7 linked regions of the Macaca fascicularis genome follow. The protein of the gene in region 1 purifies or fractionates together with the protein of each later gene. This does not show direct contact. Links are inferred from orthologs where the notes say so. Each region holds a gene or a part of one and is shown in the gene's direction. Other genes may lie near its edges. The genes, in order: PLK1, SHCBP1, STXBP4, ANKRD52, MAVS, PPP6R1 and PRC1.

Region 1 (3,500 bases):
ACAACTAAAAAATCACTGGCCCCTAAGAATCCTAGTCTCACCACGTGTATTCTGCTAAGGGCTCATTCTAGCCAATATTATGGCTCCTGGGGCTGCTCAGTGGACTTGGTTGTCTTCAGGGGCCCCAGAGTTACAGTGAGTGTCCAGAGGATGCCTGGTCTTTGTTCTGACCCTGAGATGATTTCTCTTATGTCTGGGTTGTGGCTGGGAGGCTGGTGCCAAATCCTACCTTGTGCTTACAGGTATACCTTGTTAGTGGGCAAACCACCTTTTGAGACTTCTTGCCTAAAAGAGACCTACCTCCGGATCAAGAAGAATGAATACAGTATTCCCAAGGTGACTAATGATGCTTTAACTTTACATTTATTTTGTTTTCCCCAAAAGCTGTTTATGGAGCCCAGCAATATCCTAAGACCAGAAATAGGTCTATCCCACCTCTAGGATAGCCACAGAGCTTGCGAGGGCCTGTGTCTGAAATTACATACAGAACTTGACATGTATGTGCACATAAGCATTTTTTCTAGGGGGAGAGAGTTGGCAGATTCTCAAGAGATTGGGTAGCCCAAAAGTTGCGTAAAAAGCAAAAAACAAAGGAGGTAGGAAGGAGTAGGAGGCTAAAGTGCTTAAGCTTTGGAAATGGATTATCTTAATTCAAATGGATTCTGCCACTTAGCCAGATCACATTGGGCAAATGGCCTGCATCTTTTTTTTTTCTTTTTTTTCTTTTTTTTTTTTTGAGGTAGAGTTTTACTCTTGTTCCCCAGTGCAGTGGCATGATCTCGACTCTCGACTCACTGCAACCTCCACCTCCCAGGTTCAAGCGATTCTCCTGCCTCAACCTCCCAAGTAACTGGGATTACAGGTACCCACCACCTTGCCTGGCTTTTTTTTTTTTTTTTTTTGTATTTTTAGTAGAGATGGGGTTTCACCACGTTGGCCAGGATGGTCTCGAACTCCTGACCTCAGGTGATCCACCCGCCTCAGCCTCCCAGAGTGCTGGGATTACAGGCATGAGCCACCATGCCCAGCCTGGCCTGCATCTTCTGAACCATAGTTCTCGTCTATAAAGTGGAGTTCCTGCCTTGGAGCACCTCACAGAGTGCCTTACATGTAGTAAGTGCTCACAGAATTATGAATCACTGAATCCCAGGGCTTCCTAATGGCATAGTGGTGTGCAATTTCCTTTTTTTTTTTTTTTTTTTTTTTTGAGACAGAGTCTCACTGTATCGCCCAAGCTGGAATGCAGTGATGCGATCTCGGCTCACTGCAAGTTCCCCCTCCTGGGTTCACACCATTCTCCCGCCTCAGCCTCCTGAGTAGCTGGGACTACAGGTGCCCGCCACCACACCCGGCTACTTTTTTTGTATTTTTAGTAGAAAGAGAGTTTCACTGTGTTAGCCAGGATGGTCTCAATCTCCTGACCCTGTGATCTGCCCGCCTCAGCCTCCCTAAGTGCTAGGATTACAGGCGTGAGCCACCGCACCTGGCCATGGTGTGTATTTTCACAACCACCAACAGAAATGCATTTAAAGGAATAGCTGGTTCCTGCAGAAGCCTAGCACACAGCCAGTTTGAAGTGTAGTGTCCTTGTGTGAAGCCAAGAGGCCTGTCACCATAAGGACGGACATAGTAAATCCATCACAAAGTGTCAGTTCACTGTCAGAGACAGCATGGAATCAAGCCAACTAGACAAGGCCTTCACCCTCTCTGTGCCTCACTTTCCTCCTCTGCAAAAAAGGGATGATAATAGAGCCCCACCCCTTAGATGTATTAGTGAGGGCTAAGTGAGCTAAGTACAGGAGTGCTTAGAATGCTTTCCTGGCACATAGTAAGTGCCAGGAAAGTGAGTTGGTGCTAGGCCACAGTCCATTGACCCTTCTGTCAAAGGTGCTCAGTAAAGCCGACAGTGGAGAAGTTGGCATTGAACCAAGTTGTGAACCACTAACCTGGGGTGTATTTGAGACTGGGGACTGCGTGTGGTCTATTGGCCTGCAGCCCCTTTGAGGCCGTACTGTACTCCGGGTCCCCTTCACATTCTGCTTATGGCTGTCCCTCTCTCTGCCCTAGCACATCAACCCCGTGGCCGCCTCCCTCATCCAGAAGATGCTTCAGACAGATCCCACTGCCCGCCCAACCATTAATGAGCTGCTTAACGACGAGTTCTTTACTTCTGGCTATATCCCTGCCCGTCTCCCCATCACCTGCCTGACCATTCCACCGAGGTTTTCAATTGCTCCCAGCAGCCTGGACCCCAGCAACCGGAAGCCCCTCACAGTCCTCAATAAAGGTACAACAAGGGTCTGGGTAAGAGAGCAGACTCCCCAGAGAAAGCCCAGGTTGTAGGGGTGTGTGTGGCTTAGTCCCTGGCCCCAAGAGCTCAGGTTTGGTTTAGGACAGACCTCTGTCCTTAAATTCGTGATTCCCATGCCCATCTGCTTAAATTCGTGATTCCCATGCCCATCTGCTCCTCGGCCTTGCCGGGAAAGACTGACCTTACCATGGCTGGATAAACCTGCTGTGCTCAAGAAGAAGAAAATGGACTGAATACCAAGCCTAAAAAATTCTTTCCAATCACTTTAATTAATTAATTTAATTTTTTGGAGACAGGGTCTCTCCTCTGTTTTCCAGGTTGGAGTGTAGAGGCACAATCACAGCTCACTGCAGCTTTCAACTCTAGGGTTCAATCAATCCTCCCATCTCAGCCTCCCAAGTAGTTGGGACTGTCAGGCATGAGCCACCATGCCTGGCTAATTTTTTTTTGTTTTTGTAGAGACAGTGTTTTGCCATGTTGCCTAGGCTGGTCTTGGAACTCCTGGGCTCAAGTGATCCTCCCACCTCCACCTCCCAAAGTGTTGGGATTACAGGCATGAGCTGCTACGCCTGGCCTTCTAACACTTTTTCATGATTCATTGAAAAACATAAAAATTTCCTTTTTTTTTTTTTTTTTTGAGACAGGTCTGGCTGTCTCCTAGGCTGGAGTGGAGTGGTGTGATCTTGGCTCACTGCAACTTCTGCCTCCCAGGCTCAAGTCATCCTCTCATCTCAGCTGAGACTACAGGCGTGTGCTGCCATGCCTGGCTAATTTTTTGTATTTTTTGTAGAGACAGATTCTCACTTTGTTGCCCAGGCTGTTCTCAAACTCCTAAGCTCAAGCAATCTGCCCGCCTTGGCCTTCCAAAGTACTGGGTTTACAAGTGTGAGCCACTGCACCCAGCCAGCATGAAAATTTTCAAGTACACATATAGAGCATAATGTAATGGATTCCCTCATACTTACCAGATTCAATAATTAGTTATCAGGATTTTGTCAAGTTTGCTTCATTCATTTATTTTTGTTTCTTTGAAGTATTTTTTAAAGTTAACCCCAGGCACTTTGCCATTTTTATACATAAACTTCAGAATACTTCTCTTAAAAAAGATGGACATTTTCTTAAAAATCAAAAAACCACATGCCATTGCTTAGGTTGTCATTGCTTCTAGGTCTCTTCAGAGAACAGAATT
Region 2 (2,834 bases), about 20 Mb from region 1:
TTGAGGGGGCAAAAGTTTAAGTTTTTCTCTTGACCTTTGCTGGCATGGGTGAGATTGGGGCTGCTGTTTTATTCTGTGGTGTTTACCTGCAATAGAGCTATTATTATCTAAAAGTTTTCTGTCTTTCTAGGTTGCCTAGTCCTTTTGTTACAGCAGCTTTTTTTTAAGTGTATGTCTGTTGGTGTACTGGATTGCTGGCTTCTTCAACTCCAAGTCTAGGGATTATGAAGCAAAAAGAAAGGAACTTACCACTGTGTTGGTGTTGTTTCTTAGGTCCTGAGGTCCCTAGCTGGTCTGTCTTATTCCCTCCACTTTTTAGTCTTATGCTTGTTTTATATATAATGCCCATTGTTTTTGGTTGTACCTAGCAGGAGGAATAGGGACATCTACTCCATCATCCCAGAAGTGGCAGACTCCTCAGTTACTTTTTAATTGCCAAATTATCTGTTCCTTTTCATAACATATTTTGAATATGACTTTCATTTGCTACATGACTACAGGTTTAAATTGTTCTCCTTTACAAATTTTATGTGATTCCTGATAGTTTGATATTTAATTTTAACTATCTTGCTGTAGATATTTTTTAACGTAATCACCCCTAATCTTTTTTTGCACATAACCCCAAACTGAAAATCTCCTAGAAGTAGGCCCAATTAGCACATTTTTAAAGTCCTCTCTACAGAAGGGTTAGATTGGTGTATACATATGATTCAGGCACATGTACAGGGTTAAATAATAATAAATGTTTTCTCATGGAATACTACTGCTACTAGAAAATTAACTGAACATACATGCAGTAGATGTGTTATCAATGGTTGTAGCAACTCTTCTTCATCGATGCTGTTGTGTGTTAAATTATTCCCAAATGGTTGCTGAAATAACTATAGAGGTTTGAGTGAATCATTTTTGTTTCCAGAGTGCCTTGCATAGCATTGGGAAATAAATTCTTACTACTCTTATGTTTTTTGGTGCCATGAGGTGTGAGAGAATAGTGTCATGTTTGATCTTTCTGGTTACTCTGTTTGAATGACGCTTGAACTGGCTGCTAATGTTAACGTGTGTGGTAGGGAAAGCCATTGTTTAACTCATAGAAATGATTTTTAAGTTGGGTTGGGGTATTTTAAAACTGGCACGTTTTGGAAAATGTGGGATCTTGTTTCTATCCACAAATTACAATATTTTACTAAATTCAAATACTTTTCTCCAACTAATTGAGTATCTGAGAGAATGGTCATTTTGAATAAGTACATCTTTCAACAAAATTGTTAATGACTTTTTTTCTTGGCAGAATCAGAAAACATTTATCTAGAATGAAAGAGAGTAGAGCAAGAATCAAGTGTTGACACTCTTAGCCTGTGTGTGAGTGTGTGTGTGTGTGGTTTTGAAAGTGATAAATTGTCAACAACTTGCTAGAAATGGAACAAATGGAAGTGTTGATTAAAAATGGCTGATAACACTTACCTGTAAAATACTTTATCTTTGTGCTGTACATTTGTACTGTGTTAAAGGCTAAGAAGTAATTGTAGTAATCTCTTACAGTCTTGCCTTTTAAAAACTGATTGTCATTATCTCAAACTGTGACTCACAGGGTGCCGGTATAGAAATCTACCCTGGGAGTCAGTGCACCCTGAGTGACAATGGGATCCATCACTGCAAGGAAGGGATCCTCATTAAGGTGAGCATTGGCCAAAACACCCACTTTTCAATGGATAGAATGGCTTCACCTACAAATTATGCTTTATTAAATTGTTGGGTTCTGTTTTTCTGGTTTTGAAAAGGAAGCAGTATACACATTTTGATAATATCGGTAGTCAGTGATTGGAATCTCTTGTGAGAATGCTTTGTTACCTATAGATCTGCAGAAATGACAGAGGAAAGCTGTGTCACTAAGGGCTCAGACTGTGCTACAACATGGGACGAAGCATAGCTTTTCTCCTTTATTTTTAGAATAGTATGAATAAAGAAGATTTTTAAGGCAGGAAATGTTGAATATGACAGTTCCTAAAACATTTGTTTTCAATGTCACAGGACTTCTTAGATGAACATTATGACATTCCCAAGATATCCATGGTGAATAACATAATACATAATAATGAAGGTTATGGTGTTGTCTTGGTGAAACCTACAATCTTCTCTGACCTGCAAGAAAATGCTGAAGATGGAACTGAAGGTATGTTTAGTAATTTTTAATATAAAAACCAGACATAATTTATTTCAGCATTAAATGCTGATTAAGGATCTGAGTCTTCCTCTGTTCCTTAAAAAAGGTTGTTGGGATATGCTTGGGCAGACAGAGAGAGAGAACCTTGATAAAGCCATGATATTATAGAATGTGAAAGAAACTCTCAAGGTCAATTAGTTCAACTGTCATTCAAAATCTTGATATTGTGGTTTCTGTGCAGTTCCCTTATCATGCTTAGCTTTCAATGAGGGTGGATGTGTGATAGCAACGGTGGGTATGCGATAGCAACGGTGGGTGTGTGATGCTATGGTGGGTGTGTGATAGCAACAGTGGCTCCTACTGGCATTTGTTAAGGCTGGAGGCAGTGAAATGAATGTACCAGGTTGCAGGCTGCATTTCCTGGAGGGGATAGTGGAGTTTATCTCTGTTTTTATTGGTGGAAGTAAATGCCTTCCTGTCACCTGCCGTTCTTGGCAGCAAAGGGGAACTAACTCAGTGGAAATCTGTGAACTTCAAGCTATGAGGTAGATCACTATCAAGCTTTGATGTAGGTGAGGAAAGTTTAAAGCAGTTTATTTATTTAATCAGCTTTTTCAGGTTGAAAGAGTTTAAAGGGTAGTCCTTGTCATCCTTCAGGATCCGCTCCAGTTAC
Region 3 (3,500 bases), on another chromosome or scaffold:
CATGTACATCACTTGTAGAAGCTTCAGGAGAATATGGACCTCAAGCCTCAACATTTAGTTTTTTTTCTTCTCCTCCTGAAATACTAATCCCAAAGACCTCATCCACTCCCAAAACAAATAATGCCATTTTACCTTCTTGTGAGGTAAGTCAGGTAATCTTAAATTTATGTATGTACTCCATAAATTCCCTATACATTTTTACATTGGTTATATACATATAGAATTATTTCAGTAAAATTGTTAACAAATTAATATTTCTTTGAAAGTTTTTTTTATTTTTTTCTATTTAAAATTTTGATGCTGTGTTTTCAATAAACATATTTTAAGTCAGCATGTCCTGTGGCCAGAAGCATGATGGGTTAGAAAATACCAGCATGACGAAATAGTTCCACAAAGATATGCCTAGATATCACTCAAAACTATGTTAGGAATGTCATATTTAGTTTCAGTTGGTTTAGTTATTTGCCATTTCTGTTCTCTGCTTGACTGAAGTCAGGCCATCTTCCTTTTGTTCTTAGCTTCTTTCCCACACAGTGAGGCTAATCCCAGGCTAATCCAGTCTAAGAGGGTATTGCACCTTCATGCGTGCTATAGTTCACCCAAGTAGAATCACACAAAATGGGCAATTTCTATATCAGAATTAACATACTCAATTACTAACTGCTATACTGTCCTAACAAATTACAGTTATAGAATAAAGTGTGTATTATTTATGTCTGTGTTAGCTGTAAAATAGGGAACTTATGCTTTTAGTCAGTAGAATAAAATTCGTCAAAGGTAACTTCAGTCTCTGGTACATGCTGAACAGAGACAGAGTATACGATTTTCTGTCAGCCCCTTATACTTTGTCACTTGCAGCTATAATACTTTTAAAAGACAACATGTGTGGCCTTATATTTTGTTATCCTTGGATGTGGTAGAGCTGAAAGCAATTGTTACCTTTAATTCTGAATTGCTTTGTTTGAAGATGCATATACCAAAATTTTAGAGGGTTCATGTTTGAGGGACAATTACTTTAATCTCTGTAACCATTCTTTTTATGTTAACATGGGCTTCAAGTGACCTACTTTAGTAAATGACATTGCATGTTCCTCATTTTCTTTCACAGATAAAAACTGGATACAACAAAACAGAACAGATTCCAATTACTTCTTCAGAAAACTGTTCTGTGGGTTTGTCTAATACAGGTAAATACACGTTTAATTTCTCTTTCCTGTTTTTTTTTTTTTTCAATTCTCTCTCAATGAGGAGTATGTAATGTGACTTAAGACTTCGAAGAAGGGTGAATTATGTCTTTGTTCCTTCAGTGAATGAAAAAGTAAAAATAATGTCTTTATGTTGGTCCCTGTTAAAATACGACTTTTATTAGAAATTTCCCTGGACAAAGAGTTGAAATTTCAAAAGATGCATTGTCATAACAGTGTTTATAAAGCTATAATAATTCATGAATTGTTTAAATCAAATAATGAAAAGTCTTCTATAAAGATCAAGATTAGGTTGCCGTGTCCTTTTAGTGCAATACTGATGAGGCATATTAAATACACCTTTCAGAAAACACATTATAGAAGGGAGCATACCTTAAGAAATGTGTCTTGTTTTTTTGGAAGAAATCATATGGATATCAATCAGAAAGGATGTCAGTATTGTTAATTCATTATTATTGATTCTTAATTACCATAAAATGATTTACTGACTTTTTAAAACAATAAAGCATTAATTATCTAAGCCAAGTGTAAAATAAGGATTTTTATTTGGCTGTAAGGTGTTTACAGGATCAATATCAAGAAAAAGTCCCCTGAAATTATCTCCAAAAGTTAAACACAATGATAAAAAGACTAAACATAACTGAAAAACTAATTATATATGCCTAATTATAATGCAAATTTTTACCTGTATATTTTAGTTTTGTTTTAATAGCATTATTCATATAAGAACAGAAAAATAAGGAAGCATTAATTTAAATTAAATAGCAACCAATCTTTTTTTTGAGACAGATTCTCGCTCTGTCGAAGCTCTGCCTCCTGGGTTTACGCCATTCCCCTGGCTCAGCCTCCCGAGTAGCTGGGATTACAGGTGCCCGCCACCATGCCCAACTAATTTTTTGTACTTTTAATAGAGACGGGGTTTCACTGTGTTAGCCAGGATGATCTTGATTTCCTGACCTCGTGATCTGCCTGCCTCAGCCTCCCAAAGTGCTGGGATTACAGGCATGAGCCACTGCTCCCAGCCCAATAGCTGCCAATCTTTACAGGAGTTTATACTATATTCCACAGTGGTTTACTCCGATTTGGGGTGGTATTTACAAGTGGGTTAATAGCAATCTTCAGCCATGAGTTATATTTGCTTTTACTTAGATTTATTGACCCTTAGAAACTTTATAGTATTATTCCTCTTACATAATTAATTTCCAGTCTCTGGATGTACTATATTTATTTTAAACTGGGAACCCATATGAGAAGAAAAAGACAAATGAAACAGTCATGAGATGAACATCAAAATTGCTGGATGATGGAAGTCAGAATCCTTTATTCCTTGATTATATTATAAATTATTAATAATTATATAACATGTTTTTAACTTTTAAAGTAATTAAACTATTCAATGCCTCTTTTAACCTTTTATTCAGTAAGGATTTACTGTGTTATATAGAATACAGTACAATGGGATTTATGAAGAAATTAGGATATTTTCTGTGAGATACTTAATAGTATATTGTGAAATAAAACATGGGGCTAAAAATTCTAATTATTCAAATTAGGAAACATTCTAATTTATATGCATGTGTTTGTTTATAGATGTGTGTGTATGTTTATTTTATCAAGCAGCTACTATTTGCAGTTTTTTGTGTTAATCGGAGCAGGATGTGGGTGGTTTTGTTACTCTAAAAACCATTCTGTCTTGTGGATAAATAACACATTTAAACAAATTATGTAAAGACATGAACATAGAGGCCTAAGGAAAGAAGTAGTGAGTGCTATGAGTATGGTATAAGGAAGGCACAGTGGTTACCACCAGACTCTGGATACAGACTCAGTGTTCAAGTTCTTGCTTTCATCTTATTAACTCTGTAACCTTGAAAGAGTTACAAGTTTACACGGAGTTGTTATGAGGATTAAACAAGATCATGCATGTCAAGCACTTATATTGTAATTAGTGCATAGTATATGCCTACTAAATTTTCCTGTTACTAATAATACAGAACCTATAGCTTAGAGTATAGCTCAGATAATATTCTAGGTCGTGTTTATAGAGCAGAAGGAAAAGCTTCCAATTCTTGATTCAATTTTATGTCCTCCCCTTGACCCCAAAAACTAGTATATAATAAGGAATCTGTCACAATATGCAGAAATTAAGAAAAATTTCTTGTCAAAAGTCAGACATTATCCATATCTTGAAAAACGTGGTAAACATCAATTGATAACTGAACACAGGAGATCGTTTCAAGTTAAGGAAGCACCACAAATGAAAGAACTAAGGATGAACTAGAGGTCAGATGACTC
Region 4 (3,500 bases), on another chromosome or scaffold:
CCTTGCTTCTGCCTTTTTGTGGGAGAGGGGATAAACACAGTGCAGGGTAGGAAGCCTTGAGGGGCCCAAGGAGCTTGTCGAGGACTAAGACCTTGAGCTTCCCATGGACCCCAAGAGCAGAGAAGGGGAAGGGAAGAGCAGGGAAGGTCCCAAGCTGTGTGCACTGGTTGCCTGCACCCCTCCAGGCCTACAACGGTCACTGTGAAGCCTTGAAGACACTGGCAGAGACGCTGGTGAATCTGGACGTAAGGGACCACAAGGGCCGGACCGCACTCTTCCTGGCCACGGAGCGCGGCTCTACTGAGTGTGTGGAGGTGCTTACGGCCCATGGCGCCTCTGCCCTCATCAAGGAGCGCAAGCGCAAGTGGACGCCCCTGCACGCTGCTGGTTAGTGCCCACTTGAGGCTGCTGCCTTACCCTTGCCATGCCAGATCCCTCCTGGATGGGAATGGGGCTGGAAAGTGGAGTAGGGTGAGGAGAATAGAGACTTCAAGCCCTGATTCATAGCTTCCTATCCTCAGAGATTTCTCTGTGGCCCAGGTCTTCCTGTAACATTGACCCCAAGTCCTTTAGGCTTGACCTCGCCTCCCTTCTTCCTCTTGGCCCTGCCCTGACGCGGGGTCCCTTTCCCCTAGCTGCCTCTGGCCACACTGACTCCCTGCACTTGCTGATCGACAGTGGGGAACGAGCTGACATCACAGATGTCATGGATGCCTATGGACAGTGAGTGTGGGCCAGGGTGGGGTGCAGGTTTTCCAGTCCTTGTGGGATCCTCACTCCTCCTCCTGCCCCTCTGTAGGACCCCACTGATGCTGGCCATCATGAATGGCCATGTGGACTGTGTACATCTGCTGCTAGAGAAAGGATCCACAGCTGATGCTGCTGACCTCCGGGGCCGCACCGCCCTCCACCGCGGGGTGAGTGAGCTTCTGGGGGGGATTGTTTGCATGTGGGCCTCAGTGTGGGAGCACGGGACTCACCAGCAGTAGGGAATCCAATTGTCTAGGAGGCGAGCCAGGATTTTGTGCCCAGTCTCTTTTTTTTTGGAGACAGGGTCTCACTCCCATTGCCCAGGTTGGAGTGCAGTGACACTATCATGGCTCACTGCAGCCTTGACTTCCTGGGTTCAGGTGATCCTCCCACTTCAGCCTCCTGAGTAGCTGAAACTATAGGCACATGCCACCATGCCCAGCTAATTTTTGTATTTTTTGTAGAGATGGGGATCTTACCATCTTGCCCAAACTGGTCTTGAACTCCTGGGCTCAAGTGATCCCCCAACCTTGGCCTCCTGAAGTGCTGGGATTACAGGTGCGAGCCACCAGGCCCATGCTGTGCCCAGGATCTTATTGAGCCTTGTGCTTGCTCCAGGATGAGTCCCTGACATCCCCAGCTGATTTCCCTGGTATCTGTGCTTTGTTTTATTATTATTATTATTGTTGTTATTATTATTTTTGAGACGGAGTCTTGCTCTGTTGCCCAGGCTGGAGTTCAGTGGCGTGATCTCGGCACACTGCAACCTCTGTCTCCCGGGTTCAAGCGATTCTCCTGCCTCAACCTCCCGAGTAGTTGGGATGACACGCCCAGCTAATTTTTTTATTTTTAGTAGAGACCAAGTTTCTCTGTGTTAGCCAGGATGGTCTCAATCTCCTGATGATGAGATCCACCCGCCTTGGCCTCCCAAAGGGTTGGGATTACAGGCGTGAGCCATTGTGCCTGGCCGATATCTGTGCTTTGTAATCACATACAACTGAGTGCTTACCACTCACTCTACTTGGGATACCCTGCTGGCCCCATCCCATCGCATAATGTCAGCACCACCTAGATCCTCTTCCGCGACCACCTGTCCTCAGCTGCCTCCTCCTCCCACAAGATTTTTTGATCCCTTAGTCTCCTTCTTCTCTCTGTTTAGTCTTTCACTCCAGAGCTCTAACTCTTAGTATCCTGAATGTTTATTGGCATAGAGAGAGTCAAGGAGGGAGATGTGACACTTAGAATCATTGTTGTAAAGGGCCGGGCGCGGTGACTCACGTCTGTAATCCCAGCACTTTGGAAGGCCAAGGCGGGTGGATCAGCTGAGGTCAGGAGTTCGAGACCAGCCTGGCCAACATGGTGAAACTTTGTCTCTACTAAAAATACAAAAATTAATTGGGCGTGGTGGTGCATGCCTATAATCCCAGCTACTCAGGAGGCTGAGACAGAATTGCTGGAACCCGGGAGGCAGAGGTTGCAGTGAGCCAAGATCACACCATTGCACTCCAGCCTGGGTGACAGAGTGAGACTCTTGTCTCAAAAAAAATAATAATCATTGTTGTAAAGACAAGGATTGAGGCCAGGTGCAGTGGCTCATGCCTGTAATCCCAGCAGTTTGGGAGGCCAAGGCAGGCGGATCACGAGGTCAGGAGATCAAGACCATCCTGGCTAACATGGTGAAACCCCATCTCTAGTAAAAATACAAAAAAATTAGCCGGGCATGGTGGCACCTGCCTGTAATCCCAGCTACTCGGGAGGCTGAGGCAGGAGAATCGCTTGAACCTGGGAGGCAGAGGTTGCAGTGAGCCAAGATTGTGCCACTGCACTCCAGCCTGGGTGACAGAGCAAGACTCTGTCTCCAAAAAAAAAAAAAGACAAGGATTGGAGCCCTGGAAGTGGTTCTTACTCCTGAGCCAGACTCAAGCAACAGGCCAGCAGAAAAGAAGGAGCTTTTCATCCCCTTCACACCCCCATGTTACTCACAGGCAGTGACTGGCTGTGAGGACTGCCTGGCTGCCCTGCTGGACCACGACGCATTTGTGCTGTGCCGAGACTTTAAGGGCCGCACACCCATTCACCTGGCCTCAGCCTGTGGCCACACTGCAGTACTGCGGACCCTGCTGCAGGCTGCCCTTTCCACAGACCCCCTGGATGCTGGGGTGGATTACAGCGGATACTCGCCCATGCACTGGGCCTCCTACACTGGTACTAGACTGGGGCCTCCACAGGCACAGGAGTATGTGTTGGAGTGTGTGTAGAGGAGGACGGGTGGGTTTTGGGAGTGACCTGGGTTGATCTGAATCTGGAAGTAGACTGGAGTGTCAAGACACAGGACAGACAGGGAACCTTGTTGTTTTTCTCCATCACAACTCTTCCTTACTCATGCCCAGGACACGAAGATTGTCTGGAGTTGTTACTTGAACACAGCCCGTTTTCATACCTGGAAGGAAACCCCTTCACTCCTTTGCACTGTGCAGTGTAAGTCCCTTCTGCTGCATCAGCCCTTCTTGCGAGGGCCCATGACCTGAGCTTAGGACAGGTAGCCTACTTCCCTTGTCCTTCCTGATGACCCCTCCTCCCTGTTCCTCTAGGATTAATAACCAGGACAGCACCACAGAGATGCTGCTGGGAGCTCTGGGTGCCAAGATTGTGAACAGCCGAGATGCCAAAGGACGGTGGGTGATAGAAGACTTGGGGAGAAGTCCAGTTGCCTCTGGCTTCCTCTTTCTGCTTGGGCAGTATACTCTTCC
Region 5 (3,500 bases), on another chromosome or scaffold:
TGGGCATAGTGGCGCAAGTTTGTAGTTCCAGCTACCTGGGACGCTGAGGCAGAAGGATTGCTTGAGCCCAGAAATTTGAGGCTGCAGTGAAGTATGATTGCACCACTGCACCCAACCTGGGTGACAGAGTGAGACCCCATCTCTTTTTTGGTTGGTTGGTTTGTTTTTGAGATGGAGTTTCGCTCTTGTTGCCCAGGCTGGAGTGCAATGGCGTGGTCTCGGCTCACCTCAACCTCTGCCTCCCAGGTTCAAGCAATTCTCCTGCCTCAACCTCCCGAGTAGCTGGGACTACAGGCATGCACCACCATGCCCAGCTAATTTGTTGTTGTTGTTGTTGTTGTTGTATTTTTAGTAGAGACGGGGTTTCTCCATGTTGGTCAGGCTGGTCTCCAACTCCCAACCTCAGGTAATCCCCCAACTTGGCCTCCCAAAGTGCTGGGATTATAGGCATGAACCATTGTGCCCAGCCTGAGACCCCGTCTCTTAAAAAAGAAAAAGAAAAAGAAAAAAAAGCCGGGTGTGGTGGCTCACGCCTGTAATCTCCAAACTTGGGAGGCTGAGGCGGGTGGATCACTTGAGGTCAGGAGTCCGTGACCAGCCTGCCAACATGGTGAAACCCCATCTCTACTAAAAATACAAATATTAGCTGGGCATGGTGGTGGGCACCTGTAATCCCAGCTACTGGGGAAGGAGGCTGAGGTAAGAGTCAATTGAACCCAGGAGGCAGAGGTTGCAGTGAGCCAACATCGCGCCACTGCACTCCAGCCTGGGCGACAGAGTGAGACTCAGTCTCAAAAAAAAAAAAAAAAAAAAAAAAGAAGAAAAAGAAGAAGAAATTCAAGATGAAAGAAAACAAAAATTCCAAAAAGTTGAGAAAGAATTGCCTTTTGTCCAGCCCCACTCCCAACCCTGTTGTCATGTGTGATTCTGTTTTCTTCCAGTCTCGTTTCCTCTCAGTCCATCCACCCTTCACGGGGCCAGAGCCCTCTCTCTAGAATCTGAGCAGCAATGCCGTTTGCTGAAGACAAGACCTATAAGTATATCTGCCGCAATTTCAGCAATTTTTGCAATGTGGATGTTGTAGAGATTCTGCCTTACCTGCCCTGCCTCACAGCAAGAGACCAGGTGAGCAAGGGAAGTGACAACCGGATACTGGCCTGGGGGCAGGACTGTGGAATTCAAAGCTCAGCCCTATCCTAGTTCCTCACCCAAGCCAGGGCTGGCTCCTTCCTTCTGCCTCTTGCTGTGTCTTGCTCCTTGTCCTTGCTGCTTTTCATTTTTTTTTGAGACAGAGCCTCACTCTGTCGCCAGGCTGGAGTGCAGTGGCATGATCTTGGCTCACTGCAACCTCCGCCTCCCAGGTTCAAGTGATTCTCCTGCCTCAGCTTCCCGAGTAGCTGGGATTACAGGTGTGTGCCACCACGCCCAGCTAATTTTTGTGTTTTTAATAGAGACGGGGTTTCCCCATGTTGGCCAGGATGGTCTCGATCTCTTGACCTCGTGATCCACCTGCCTCAGCCTCCGAAAGTGCTGGGATTACAGGCGTGAGCGCCGTTGCTGCTTTTCTAACTTTTGGATGAAGTGTGGCTCGGGGTGGCATTGCTGACTTCGCCGAACTCCCCGTTGTGTTGTTTTTGTACACTGCTCAAAAACATGGCACTGGCTCTCTGAGATTTCCTGGCTCTGGTCCACTTGCCCACTTTTTTTGGAACCTCCTATTTCCTTCATCTCTCTTGCCCTTCCTTGTCCTGCTCAGTTTTGACTCCATTCTCCTTGTCATGGGGCCCTGTCCAGGCACAGCGCTGGGACTCAGGTTTGAGAGCAGGCAGGAGCCAGGTCGCTCTAGCCCCAACAGAACTTGCTGCAGGCCCCTGGCACTCACTAGCTGGTGAAACGGGCACAACCCCTCCCCGTTGTAGCTGCTATTCTCAGATTGGACCCCTGTGCTCCAGAGGGTACCTGTTGGCTCTTTTGGGGCCTCCTGTCCTCAGATTTCTCAGGAGCCCCATTGCTGTCTCTGGTGTCCTCCCACACAGATCGTGTTAGTATGCAGGTCTGTTTGGGGTTTGCCCCTCCCTCTTGTATTTTGGGGTTTATAGGGATATCTTGTTTTGTAGTAAATATTTTCTGTGGGTTTTATTTTCTTTAAAAAATTTTTTTTGAGACAGAGTCTCACTCAGTTGCCCAGGTTGGAGTGCAGTGGTGTGATCTCAGTTCACTGCAACCTCCGCCTCCCGGGTTCAAGTGATTCTCGCGCCTCAGCCTCCTGAGTAGCTGGGGTTACAGGCGCATGGCACCACACCTGGCTAGTTTTGTATTTTTTTTTTTTTTTTTTTGAGACGGAGTCTCACTCTGTTCCAGGCTAGAGTGCAGTGGCGCAGTCTCGGCTCACTGCGAGCTCTGCCTCCCGGGTTCACAACATTCTCCTGCCTCAGCCTCCCGAGTAGCTGGGACTACAGGCGCCTGCCACCATGCCCGACTAATTTTTTGTACTTTTAGTAGAGACTGGGTTTCACCGTGTTAGCCAGGATGGTCTCGATCTCCTGACCTCATGATCCGCCCGCCTGGCCTCCCAAAGTGCTGGGATTACAGGCATAAGCCACCACGCCCAGCTAGTTTTGTATTTTTAGTAGAGACAGTTTCACCATGTTGGCCAGGCTGGTCTTTATTTTTATTTTTGAGACCGAGTCTTGCTCTTGTCACTCAGGCTGGAGTGCAGTGGTACAATATTTTGTTTTGTTTTGTTTTGTTTTTGTTTTTGTTTTTGTTTTTTTTTGAGACGGAGTCTCGCTCTGTGGCCCAGGCTGGAGTGCAGTGGCCGGATCTCAGCTCACTGTAAGCTCCGCCTCCCGGGTTTACGCCATTCTCCTGCCTCAGCCTCCCGAGTAGCTGGGACTACAGGCGCCCGCCACCTCGCCCGGCTAGTTTTTTTTTGTATTTTTTAGTAGAGACGGGGTTTCACCGTGTTAGCCAGGATGGTCTCGATCTCCTGACCTCGTGATCCACCCGTCTCAGCCTCCCAAAGTGCTGGGATTACAGGCTTGAGCCACCGTGCCCGGCCTTTTTTTTTTTTTTTTTTTGAGATAGAGTCTTGCTCTGTCTTCTGGGCTGGAGTGCAGTGGTGCCATCTCGGGTTACCGCAACCTCTGCCTTCTGGGTTCAAGCGATTCTCCTGCTTTAGCCTCCTGAGTAGCTGGGATTACAGGCACGTGCCACCATGCCCAGCTAATTTTTGTATTTTTAGTAGAGACGGGGTTTCACCATGTTGGTCAGGCTGGTCTCGAACTCCTGACCTCGTGATCCTTGGCCTTCCAAAGTGCTGGGATTACAGGTGTGAGCTACCGCGCCTGGCTATTTTCCTTTTTCTAAAAATCTAGCTCCTGCAGGATTCTGTGGGTTTTTGTTTCTGCTATCTGGTTGCTTGTTTTTAATGTGGGAATTCAGATAGACATAAAAACTCTAGGGCTGGGCACAGTGGCTCACGCCTGTAATCCCAGCAC
Region 6 (3,500 bases), on another chromosome or scaffold:
AGTAGAGACGGGGTTTCACCGTGTTAGCCAGGATGGTCTCGATCTCCTGACCTTGTGATCCGCCCGCCTCGGCCTCCCAAAGTGCTGGGATTACAGGCTTGAGCCACCGCGCCCGGCCTGTGCCCCCTTCTTCTTAACTCGTGTCCCTGTGTCTGGGTGACCGTTTTTCCCTGGATGGTCAGCTCGGGGGCGGGGCTTCCAGCACCAGGCTGCAGAGGGCCCGGTGGCCCACCCAGGATCCTCACCTGTCTCTCCCCATCCCAGCAACATTCCAACGCGTCCCAGTCCCTGTGTGACATCGTCCGCCTGAGCCGGGAGCAGATGATCCAAGTCCAGGACAGCCCGGAGCCTGACCAGCTGCTGGCCACCCTGGAGAAGTGGGTGTGCGGGCGAAGCTAAGGCTGGGGGGAGCTGACTCGGGGATGCCCTGGGCCCCTGGCCCCTCACCCTGACCCCCGCCCCCACCCCCATAGGCAGGAGACGATTGAGCAGCTCTTAAGCAACATGTTCGAGGTGGAGCAGAGCCAGTCTGTCATCGTCAGTGGGATCCAGGTGCTGCTGACCCTGCTGGAGCCCAGGAGGCCGAGGTGAGGGATATGAGCCGCAGACCATGCATGCTGCCCGTCCCCTGGGGCTCTCTGGCCCCTCAGAGGCGGGTCTCGGTGTCCACCAAGTGAAACTGCCGCCTCCAAGTGGCGCCTTGCTCTGGTGGCCGCTTGTGCTCCCTGTGCAGTGGACAGTATGGGCCCAAGGGAGGAATCTTCCTGTCTTGTTTGACAAATGAGGGCGCTGAGGCTGAGGCCACTGCTGCAGCTTGTGTTGGGAGGGACCTCAGGCCCCCGTGCCCCTGCCTTACCATAAAGGCCTCTAGCTTGTTGGGTGTGCCTTCCCGCCCTCATCCCTCACCGGTGCCCCCACAGTGGACTGCCAATGCTGCCACCTGGCGAGCTCCCCACCCCACCCCAGCCAGGTGTAGTCTGAAGGGCCTCAGAAGAGAGCAGCGCCAGGGGCATGTGGCTCCTCGTCTTCCTCCAGACCCTGCAGACTCAGTCCTTGCGCCTGCTGTCGTGTGGGCACGCAGGCCGTCTAGGCTCACTCTGCCTTTGACCCTGCCCTGCTGCAGGTCCGAGTCCATGACTGTGAACAACTTCTTCAGCAGTGTGGATGGGCAGCTGGAGCTCCTGGCCCAGGGAGCCCTGGAAAGCACTGTGTCCAGTGTGGGCGCCTTGCACGCCCTGCGCCCGCGGCTCAGCTGCTTCCACCAGCTCCTGCTGGAGCCTCCCAAGGTCAGGGGCGGGGGTTGTGGTCCTTGGGGAGGCGGGGGAAGCAGGAAGCGCAGCCCTTGGGAACCAGGGCTCCCTGTATCTGCAGCTGGAGCCGCTACAGATGACGTGGGGCATGCTGGCTCCGCCTCTGGGCAACACGCGGCTGCACGTGGTCAAGCTCCTGGCCAGCGCCCTGAGCGCCAATGATGCAGCCCTGACGCAGGAGCTCCTGGCACTGGACGTGCCCAACACCATGCTGGTGCGGGACTGGACTGGGCTAGGGGCTTAGGGGCTGGGGTGGGACCGGACTGAGCTAGGGGCTCGGGGGCTGGGGGCTCAGGGGCTGGGGTGGGGACCGGACTGGGCTGGGGGCTCGGGGGCTGGGGGCTTAGGGGCTGGGGTGGGACCGGACTGAGCTAGGGGCTCGGGGGCTGGGGGCTCAGGGGCTGGGGTGGGGACCGGACTGGGCTGGGGGCTCGGGGGCTGGGGGTTAAGGGGCTGGGGTGGGACCGGACTGAGCTAGGGGCTCGGGGGCTGGGGGCTCAGGGGCTGGGGTGGGGACCGGACTGGGCTGGGGGCTCGGGGGCTGGGGGTTAAGCGGTTGGGGTGGGGACTGGACTGGGCTAGGGGCTCGGGGGCTGGGAGTTAAGGGGCTGGGGTGGGGACTGGACTGGGCTAGGGGCTCGGGGGCTGGGGGTTAAGGGGCTGGGGTGGGGACCGGACTGAGCTAGGGGCTCGGGGGCTGGGGGGGGGACCGGACTGAGCTAGGGGCTCGGGGGCTGGGGGTTAAGGGGCTGGGGTGGGGACCGGACGGGGCTGGGGGCTCGGGGGCTAGGGGCTTAGGGGCTGGGGTGGGACCGGACTGAGCTAGGGGCTCGGGGGCTGGGGATTAAGGGGCTGGGGTGGGGACCGGACTGAGCTAGGGGCTCAGGGGCTGGGGGCTTAGGGGCTGGGGTGGGGACCGGACTGAGCTAGGGGCTTGGGGGCTGGGGGCTTAGGGGCTGGGGTGGGGACCAGACTGAGCTAGGGGCATGGGGACTGGGAGCTTAGGGGCTGGGGTGGGGACCGGACTGGGCTGGGGGCTCGGGGGCTGGGGTGGGGACTGGTCTGGGTGGGGGCTCAGGGGCTAGGGTGGGGACCAGACTGGGCTGGGGGCTCGGGCGCTGGGGGCTCAGGGGCTGGGGGCTCAGGGGCTGGGGCAGGGCCTCTCTGGTACCAACCCTGTGTCCTCCCATAGGACCTCTTCTTCCACTATGTCTTCAACAACTTCTTGCATGCCCAAGTGGAGGGATGCGTGAGCACCATGCTGAGCTTGGGGCCACCTCCTGACAGCAACCCTGAGACGCCCGTCCAAAACCCTGTTGTGAAACATGTGAGCTGGGACTCCCTGATCCCCTCCTTCTGGGCCCATCCCCTGTGGGCGCACCCTCTCCAGAGGCCTACCCCTCACTTCTTCCTCCCACAAGTGTTCGTTGGGTAGTGTTAGGTGCCAGCACCCAGATGGGATGTGGGAGGCATGGCCAGGGAGAAACGGGGATGAAACATGCAGGTGCAGGGAGCAGTGGGCTCCTGACTTGAACCGAAGAGCTAGGGGTGGGCGGGAGCAGACCTGCGAGCGGCTGTGTGTGCATGAGTGTGCACACATGAGTGTGTGTGTGAGAGCACGTGTCTGTTAGTGCATGCATGTGTGTGAGCATGTGTGTGTGTGTGTGTGCACGCATGAGTGTGTAAGCATGTATGCATGTGTGTGCACGCGTGTGTATGTTAGTGCATGCATGCGTGTGTGAGCACGTGTGAGTCTGCATGCATGAGTGTGTGTGAGCATGTATGCATGTGTGTGCATGCGTATGAGTGTGTCTGTTAGTGCATGCATGTGTGTGTGAACATGTGTGAGTCTGCATGCATGAGTGTGTGAGCATGTATACATGTGTGTGCACGTGTGTGTGAGCATGAGTGTGTCAGTGCATGCATGCGTGTGTGAGCATGTGTGAGTCTGCATGCATGAGTGTGTGAGCATGTATACATGTGTGTGCACGTGTGTGTGAGCATGAGTGTGTCAGTGCATGCATGCGTGTGTGAGCATGTGTGAGTCTGCATGCATGAGTGTGTGTGTGTGAGCATGTATGCGTGTGTGTGCACACGTGAGTGTGTGTGCATGCACCACATACTCTTCGTAGAAAGACCAGAGAGACTTGGCTGGATGCCAGGGTCCCAAGCCCCAGCTTCCATCCCTCC
Region 7 (3,981 bases), on another chromosome or scaffold:
ATATGAACGTAAGTTACAGTTGGCCAGTAAACACGAAAAATGTGCAATTTCAGTTATAATCAAGTGCCAAACAAGGAAATGCCAGTATTATTATTTTACCTACAAAATGAGCAAAGATGTTTAAAAGTATGATAGAATTCAGCCCTGCTGAGGGTAACAAAAGGAGGGTACTTTTCCGGTGAGGCTTTGTGCAGAAGGCAAATTAATAAAGGGAGCATTCAGTAATTACACCTCTAGGAATCAGCCATACGAAAATGCAGGATGCAAAGATTTATGTATGAAGATATTCAGTCCAGCCTTATATTTTGAATTATCTAAATATCAATAGCAGAATGGGCGAGATAGCTACACACCAGGATATTATGCCACCATGAATCACTGGGAAAAAAAATGTGATATATAAGCATTTAGGGATGTAACATGTTCATCGAGGAAAGGAGGCTACAAAAGTACTATGATGTTTATTTTGAGTTTTAAATTTTTCATGTAACAATTTAGAAACTAATTTGAAAGAAAACCACACCTAGGTGATCTGCATTTATTCACCAATCAGGTGAGTTGGGCAAATCATTCAAATCTTTTTGAGTTTCCTCTGCAATGGTGACAATACTTGCCATAACAGGATTGTGGAGGTTAAATAGGATAACTAGCGTTGAAAGGTTCCAGGCCCATGAGCAGGGCTCAATGTTCCTTCCCTTCCCCTTAGTGTACGGCTTCCTACATCTGGGGAGAAGTCCCACCAAAGATCGGTTCCAACGTTCGCTTCTTGGATGAGCAAGGGAAACTAGGCTCTAACTTTCCTATTCCTCCCCGCTCCCGGTCCCGGCAGCCGGGACTCAGGGAAGCCGGAAAGCCGCGGTGCTCTCAACTCCTTCCCCGCCCGCGCACTTCGAAGACAAACTGCGCCGGGCGGGGCGGGGCGGGGCGGTGCTCCGATGACGTAGCCGACTCGGGAGGGGAGTCCCTTGAGGCTGCAGCCAATCGAGGGAAGTGGGAGGTGCAGGCCACGCCCGCCCACTCACAGACAGTGACGTCATCCCCCGCCCCGCTCCAGCGCTTCCCGGGCCCCGCTCACGAGTCCCCGCCCCGACTGCGCACCCGCGAGCTGCAACCCGAGGGGCGGGGATTTTCGTGGAGCGACGGGACGCGACGCCAATCGCAGCGAGGCTTCGCCCCGCGGCGCGGTTTGAAATTTTGCGGGGCTCAACGGCTCACGGAGCGGCTACCCGGAGTGAGATCGCCGGTGTTTGCGGGTGGTTGTTGCTCTCGTGGCGGTGTTGAGTAGGTCTAGAGCTGGACTGACGGCTGCTTGGAGCGTCTGCCATGAGGAGAAGGTGCGGGTTGCGGGGAAATCGAGGGGACGCGGGAGAGAGCGACGCCCGTCTCGGGTTCAGGGGTTCAGGGGTGCGGGGCCCGTGCGGGGTCCCGGGACTAGGGCGTCACAGCAGTCGGCGCTGAGTGAGGCCGGGGGCGCGAAGAGGCAGGGTCTGGAGGCGGCGAGCCAGTGCGAGGGCCGCGACGGAGGTGAGACCTGACGCGCTGTCCCCCGGCGGCCGCGGGTGTCCGCAGGCTCAGACGCCCGGGTGGGAGCCGAGCGCCGGTGCCCGGACGCGGCAGGGCAAGCGAGGCCGGGGGCCCGGGTCGGCCTCCACCCTGGCGGTCAGCGCTGGCGCTCGGACCCCACCCTCCCCGCCCTCGGCGTCTCAGGTGCCGCTTCTTGGCGCAGATGACTCGTAAACCTTCTGTGGTCCTGGCTTCTCTTTAAAGCTGTTAAGTTTATTTATCATTGTTTTGTTTTATTCTTTGTTTTTGTGGAAACGCGGTCTCCCTATGTTGGCCAGGCTGGTCTCGAACTCCTGGCTTCAGGTGATCCTGCCACCTCGGCCTCCCAAAGTGTTGGGATTACAGGCGTGAGCCACCGCGCCCGGCCCGTTGTTTTTCTTTATATCTGGCCAGCGGTGTTAACGTTTTGTTTGAATTGGAAAGATAGCTTTGTTTCTTTGCAAGTTAAGAAACGGATTATGGAATTCTTTTCCGGTCGTTTTAATAACTTCCTAGGCAGTGTTGGGGAGGGACTGACCGACTTGAAATCCGGACCAGTGACACTGACACTTACCAGCCTTGTGCCTTCCAAATATTAACTTTAATTTCTGAAAGTTGTAGATGAATTATTGTGATGATACAGCGTTAATTTGTAGTTTTTGGTGAAACTGATTGTTCTAAGGCTTTGTAAGATTCTTCATTTCATGATCACTGATTCTGATCTGTCTTTTTCAAATGCTTGCCCTCAGAATAATGAGAATTGAGTGCCAACATGGTGAAACCCCGTCTTAACTGAAAATACAAAAATTAGCCGGGCGTGGTGGTGCGCCTGTAGCCCCAGCTTCTCAGGAGGCTGAGGCAGGAGAATCGCTTGAGCCTGGGAGGCAGAGGTTGCATGAGCCGACATCTCGACACTGCATTCCAGCCTGGGTGGCAGAGTGAGACTGTCTCAAAAAAAAAAGTCCATTAACAGTTTATGAATTATTTAGGCATCTCCTCTATCAAGGGATTGAATGAAGCAGGAGAAAAAATTACCCTTTAGTGTTGGTTCCAGGCTAATGGATATAATTTGACTTTTTTTTTTTTTTTTTGAGACAGGGTCTCACTCTGTCACCCAGGCTGGAGTGCAGTGGCGAGATTCCTCACTGCAGCTTTGACCTCTGAGGCTCAAACAAAACTCTGGCCAGAATTAATTATGGTTATCGGTCCCCGAAACAGGTTGCACAGGAGATCAACAAAGCTCCTTCTCTGGAGTGCTAAGAAAAAATAGGGCAGTGGATCAGTGAAGGCTGCCTGAAGGTAGGAAATAATTTAGAGGACCACTTTGAGATTTCTTCCAGTCCAGTGATTTATGTTCAAGACTGAAAAAACTGACTCATTCTACAACCTTTGTGTCCTTGAGTGGTAGTCTTTGTATGCACTCTGAGTTTTTCAGTGAGTCTAAAAAAAATCTCAGACTTGCTCCTTTTAGGGGATTACCTGAAACAATTTAGCCAGGTAGTATTTCAGTGTATCATGACAATTGTTCATAATGATTGCTCTGAAGCATCTTAAGAACATACAACTTTTTTGAAATGTCACATTATTCATTCAAAAAGACTTCTTGGGCCTGGCACAGTGGCTCACACCTGTAATCCCAGCACTTTAGGAGGCCAAGGTGGGAGGATGACTTGGGCCCAGGAGTTCAAGACCAGCCTGGGGCAACATAGCAAGACCCTGTCTCTAAAAAATAATAATAATCTATACTAAAAAAGAAAAGAAAAATAATTCTTGAATGTTATATACAAGGAACCATTCCAAGTGGTGGGGATATAGCAGTGAGCAAAAGTGACATCCCTGTCCTCACAGAGTTTGTATTCTAATAGCAAAACAGGAGTGTAATAAATAAGTTAATCTTAAATGGTGATAAGTGCTATGTAGAGAAATCAAGCAGAGAAAGGGGATAAGAAGTACTGAAGGTGTAGGAAGTGGGGTTGTGGTTTTAAAGAGATGGGTCAGGAAAGGCCTCCCTGAGAAGGTGATCTCTGAGCAAAGACCTAAGGAGGAAAAGGGTGAAGCCATGCAGCATGGGGGAAAAGAGATCTAGGTAATCAGCATATCCAAGTGCCCTAAGCGGGGATAGTGCCTGGTATGTTCCAGAAAGAGCAAGGAGGTCTCTGTGACAGGAATAGAATGAGCACTGAGGTCAAAAGAAATGGCTTTCAGATGGAATGGGCCTTCATAGGGCTTTGCAAAGCCAGAGGCTTTTCCTTGGAGTGAGATGGCAAGTCATTGGAGGGTTCTGAGTAGAAGATTAGGACTTGGGGCTCCTGTGTTGACAATAGACTTAAGGAGGCCAGCATTGAAGCAGGGAGACCAGTTAAGAAGCCATTGCCATACAGCAAAAAGTTAGTGGCAGTGACCTGGACGAGGGTGGGGGTGGTAGTGGTAGCAGCAGAG

The links.
Region 2: the proteins of PLK1 (region 1) and SHCBP1 purify together in Homo sapiens (affinity purification with western blotting; 3 studies listed by BioGRID, with this or other methods). This does not show direct contact. The link is inferred for Macaca fascicularis from reciprocal best matches to the Homo sapiens genes PLK1 and SHCBP1.
Region 3: the proteins of PLK1 (region 1) and STXBP4 purify together in Homo sapiens (affinity purification with mass spectrometry; 3 studies listed by BioGRID and IntAct, counting the BioPlex papers as one, with this or other methods). This does not show direct contact. The link is inferred for Macaca fascicularis from reciprocal best matches to the Homo sapiens genes PLK1 and STXBP4.
Region 4: the proteins of PLK1 (region 1) and ANKRD52 purify together in Homo sapiens (affinity purification with mass spectrometry; 3 studies listed by BioGRID and IntAct, with this or other methods). This does not show direct contact. The link is inferred for Macaca fascicularis from reciprocal best matches to the Homo sapiens genes PLK1 and ANKRD52.
Region 5: the proteins of PLK1 (region 1) and MAVS purify together in Homo sapiens (affinity purification with mass spectrometry; 3 studies listed by BioGRID and IntAct, counting the BioPlex papers as one, with this or other methods). This does not show direct contact. The link is inferred for Macaca fascicularis from reciprocal best matches to the Homo sapiens genes PLK1 and MAVS.
Region 6: the proteins of PLK1 (region 1) and PPP6R1 purify together in Homo sapiens (affinity purification with mass spectrometry; 3 studies listed by BioGRID and IntAct, with this or other methods). This does not show direct contact. The link is inferred for Macaca fascicularis from reciprocal best matches to the Homo sapiens genes PLK1 and PPP6R1.
Region 7: the proteins of PLK1 (region 1) and PRC1 purify together in Homo sapiens (affinity purification with western blotting; 4 studies listed by BioGRID and IntAct, with this or other methods). This does not show direct contact. The link is inferred for Macaca fascicularis from reciprocal best matches to the Homo sapiens genes PLK1 and PRC1.

The regions. Positions count from the first base shown.
Region 1 is NC_088394.1:22,751,436-22,754,935, forward strand, and holds part of PLK1 (serine/threonine-protein kinase PLK1), read left to right. Parts: intron 1-242; coding exon 243-336; intron 337-2,067; coding exon 2,068-2,287; intron 2,288-3,500. UniProt on the Homo sapiens protein: Serine/threonine-protein kinase that performs several important functions throughout M phase of the cell cycle, including the regulation of centrosome maturation and spindle assembly, the removal of cohesins from chromosome arms, the inactivation of anaphase-promoting complex/cyclosome (APC/C) inhibitors, and the regulation of mitotic exit and cytokinesis.
Region 2 is NC_088394.1:42,490,634-42,493,467, reverse strand, and holds part of SHCBP1 (SHC SH2 domain-binding protein 1), read left to right. Parts: intron 1-1,588; coding exon 1,589-1,675; intron 1,676-2,028; coding exon 2,029-2,170; intron 2,171-2,834. UniProt on the Homo sapiens protein: May play a role in signaling pathways governing cellular proliferation, cell growth and differentiation. May be a component of a novel signaling pathway downstream of Shc. Acts as a positive regulator of FGF signaling in neural progenitor cells.
Region 3 is NC_088390.1:51,691,605-51,695,104, reverse strand, and holds part of STXBP4 (syntaxin-binding protein 4), read left to right. Parts: coding exon 1-143; intron 144-1,108; coding exon 1,109-1,187; intron 1,188-3,500. UniProt on the Homo sapiens protein: Plays a role in the translocation of transport vesicles from the cytoplasm to the plasma membrane. Inhibits the translocation of SLC2A4 from intracellular vesicles to the plasma membrane by STX4A binding and preventing the interaction between STX4A and VAMP2.
Region 4 is NC_088385.1:63,044,959-63,048,458, reverse strand, and holds part of ANKRD52 (serine/threonine-protein phosphatase 6 regulatory ankyrin repeat subunit C), read left to right. Parts: intron 1-185; coding exon 186-387; intron 388-635; coding exon 636-723; intron 724-799; coding exon 800-917; intron 918-2,735; coding exon 2,736-2,955; intron 2,956-3,140; coding exon 3,141-3,228; intron 3,229-3,341; coding exon 3,342-3,425; intron 3,426-3,500. UniProt on the Homo sapiens protein: Putative regulatory subunit of protein phosphatase 6 (PP6) that may be involved in the recognition of phosphoprotein substrates.
Region 5 is NC_088384.1:83,432,929-83,436,428, reverse strand, and holds part of MAVS (mitochondrial antiviral-signaling protein), read left to right. Parts: intron 1-941; 5' UTR 942-1,008; coding exon 1,009-1,125; intron 1,126-3,500.
Region 6 is NC_088393.1:63,175,863-63,179,362, reverse strand, and holds part of PPP6R1 (serine/threonine-protein phosphatase 6 regulatory subunit 1), read left to right. Parts: intron 1-264; coding exon 265-377; intron 378-473; coding exon 474-587; intron 588-1,123; coding exon 1,124-1,286; intron 1,287-1,371; coding exon 1,372-1,524; intron 1,525-2,502; coding exon 2,503-2,637; intron 2,638-3,500. UniProt on the Homo sapiens protein: Regulatory subunit of protein phosphatase 6 (PP6). May function as a scaffolding PP6 subunit. Involved in the PP6-mediated dephosphorylation of NFKBIE opposing its degradation in response to TNF-alpha.
Region 7 is NC_088381.1:75,546,008-75,549,988, reverse strand, and holds the start of PRC1 (protein regulator of cytokinesis 1), read left to right. Parts: upstream 1-1,181; 5' UTR 1,182-1,323; coding exon 1,324-1,334; intron 1,335-3,981. UniProt on the Homo sapiens protein: Key regulator of cytokinesis that cross-links antiparrallel microtubules at an average distance of 35 nM. Essential for controlling the spatiotemporal formation of the midzone and successful cytokinesis.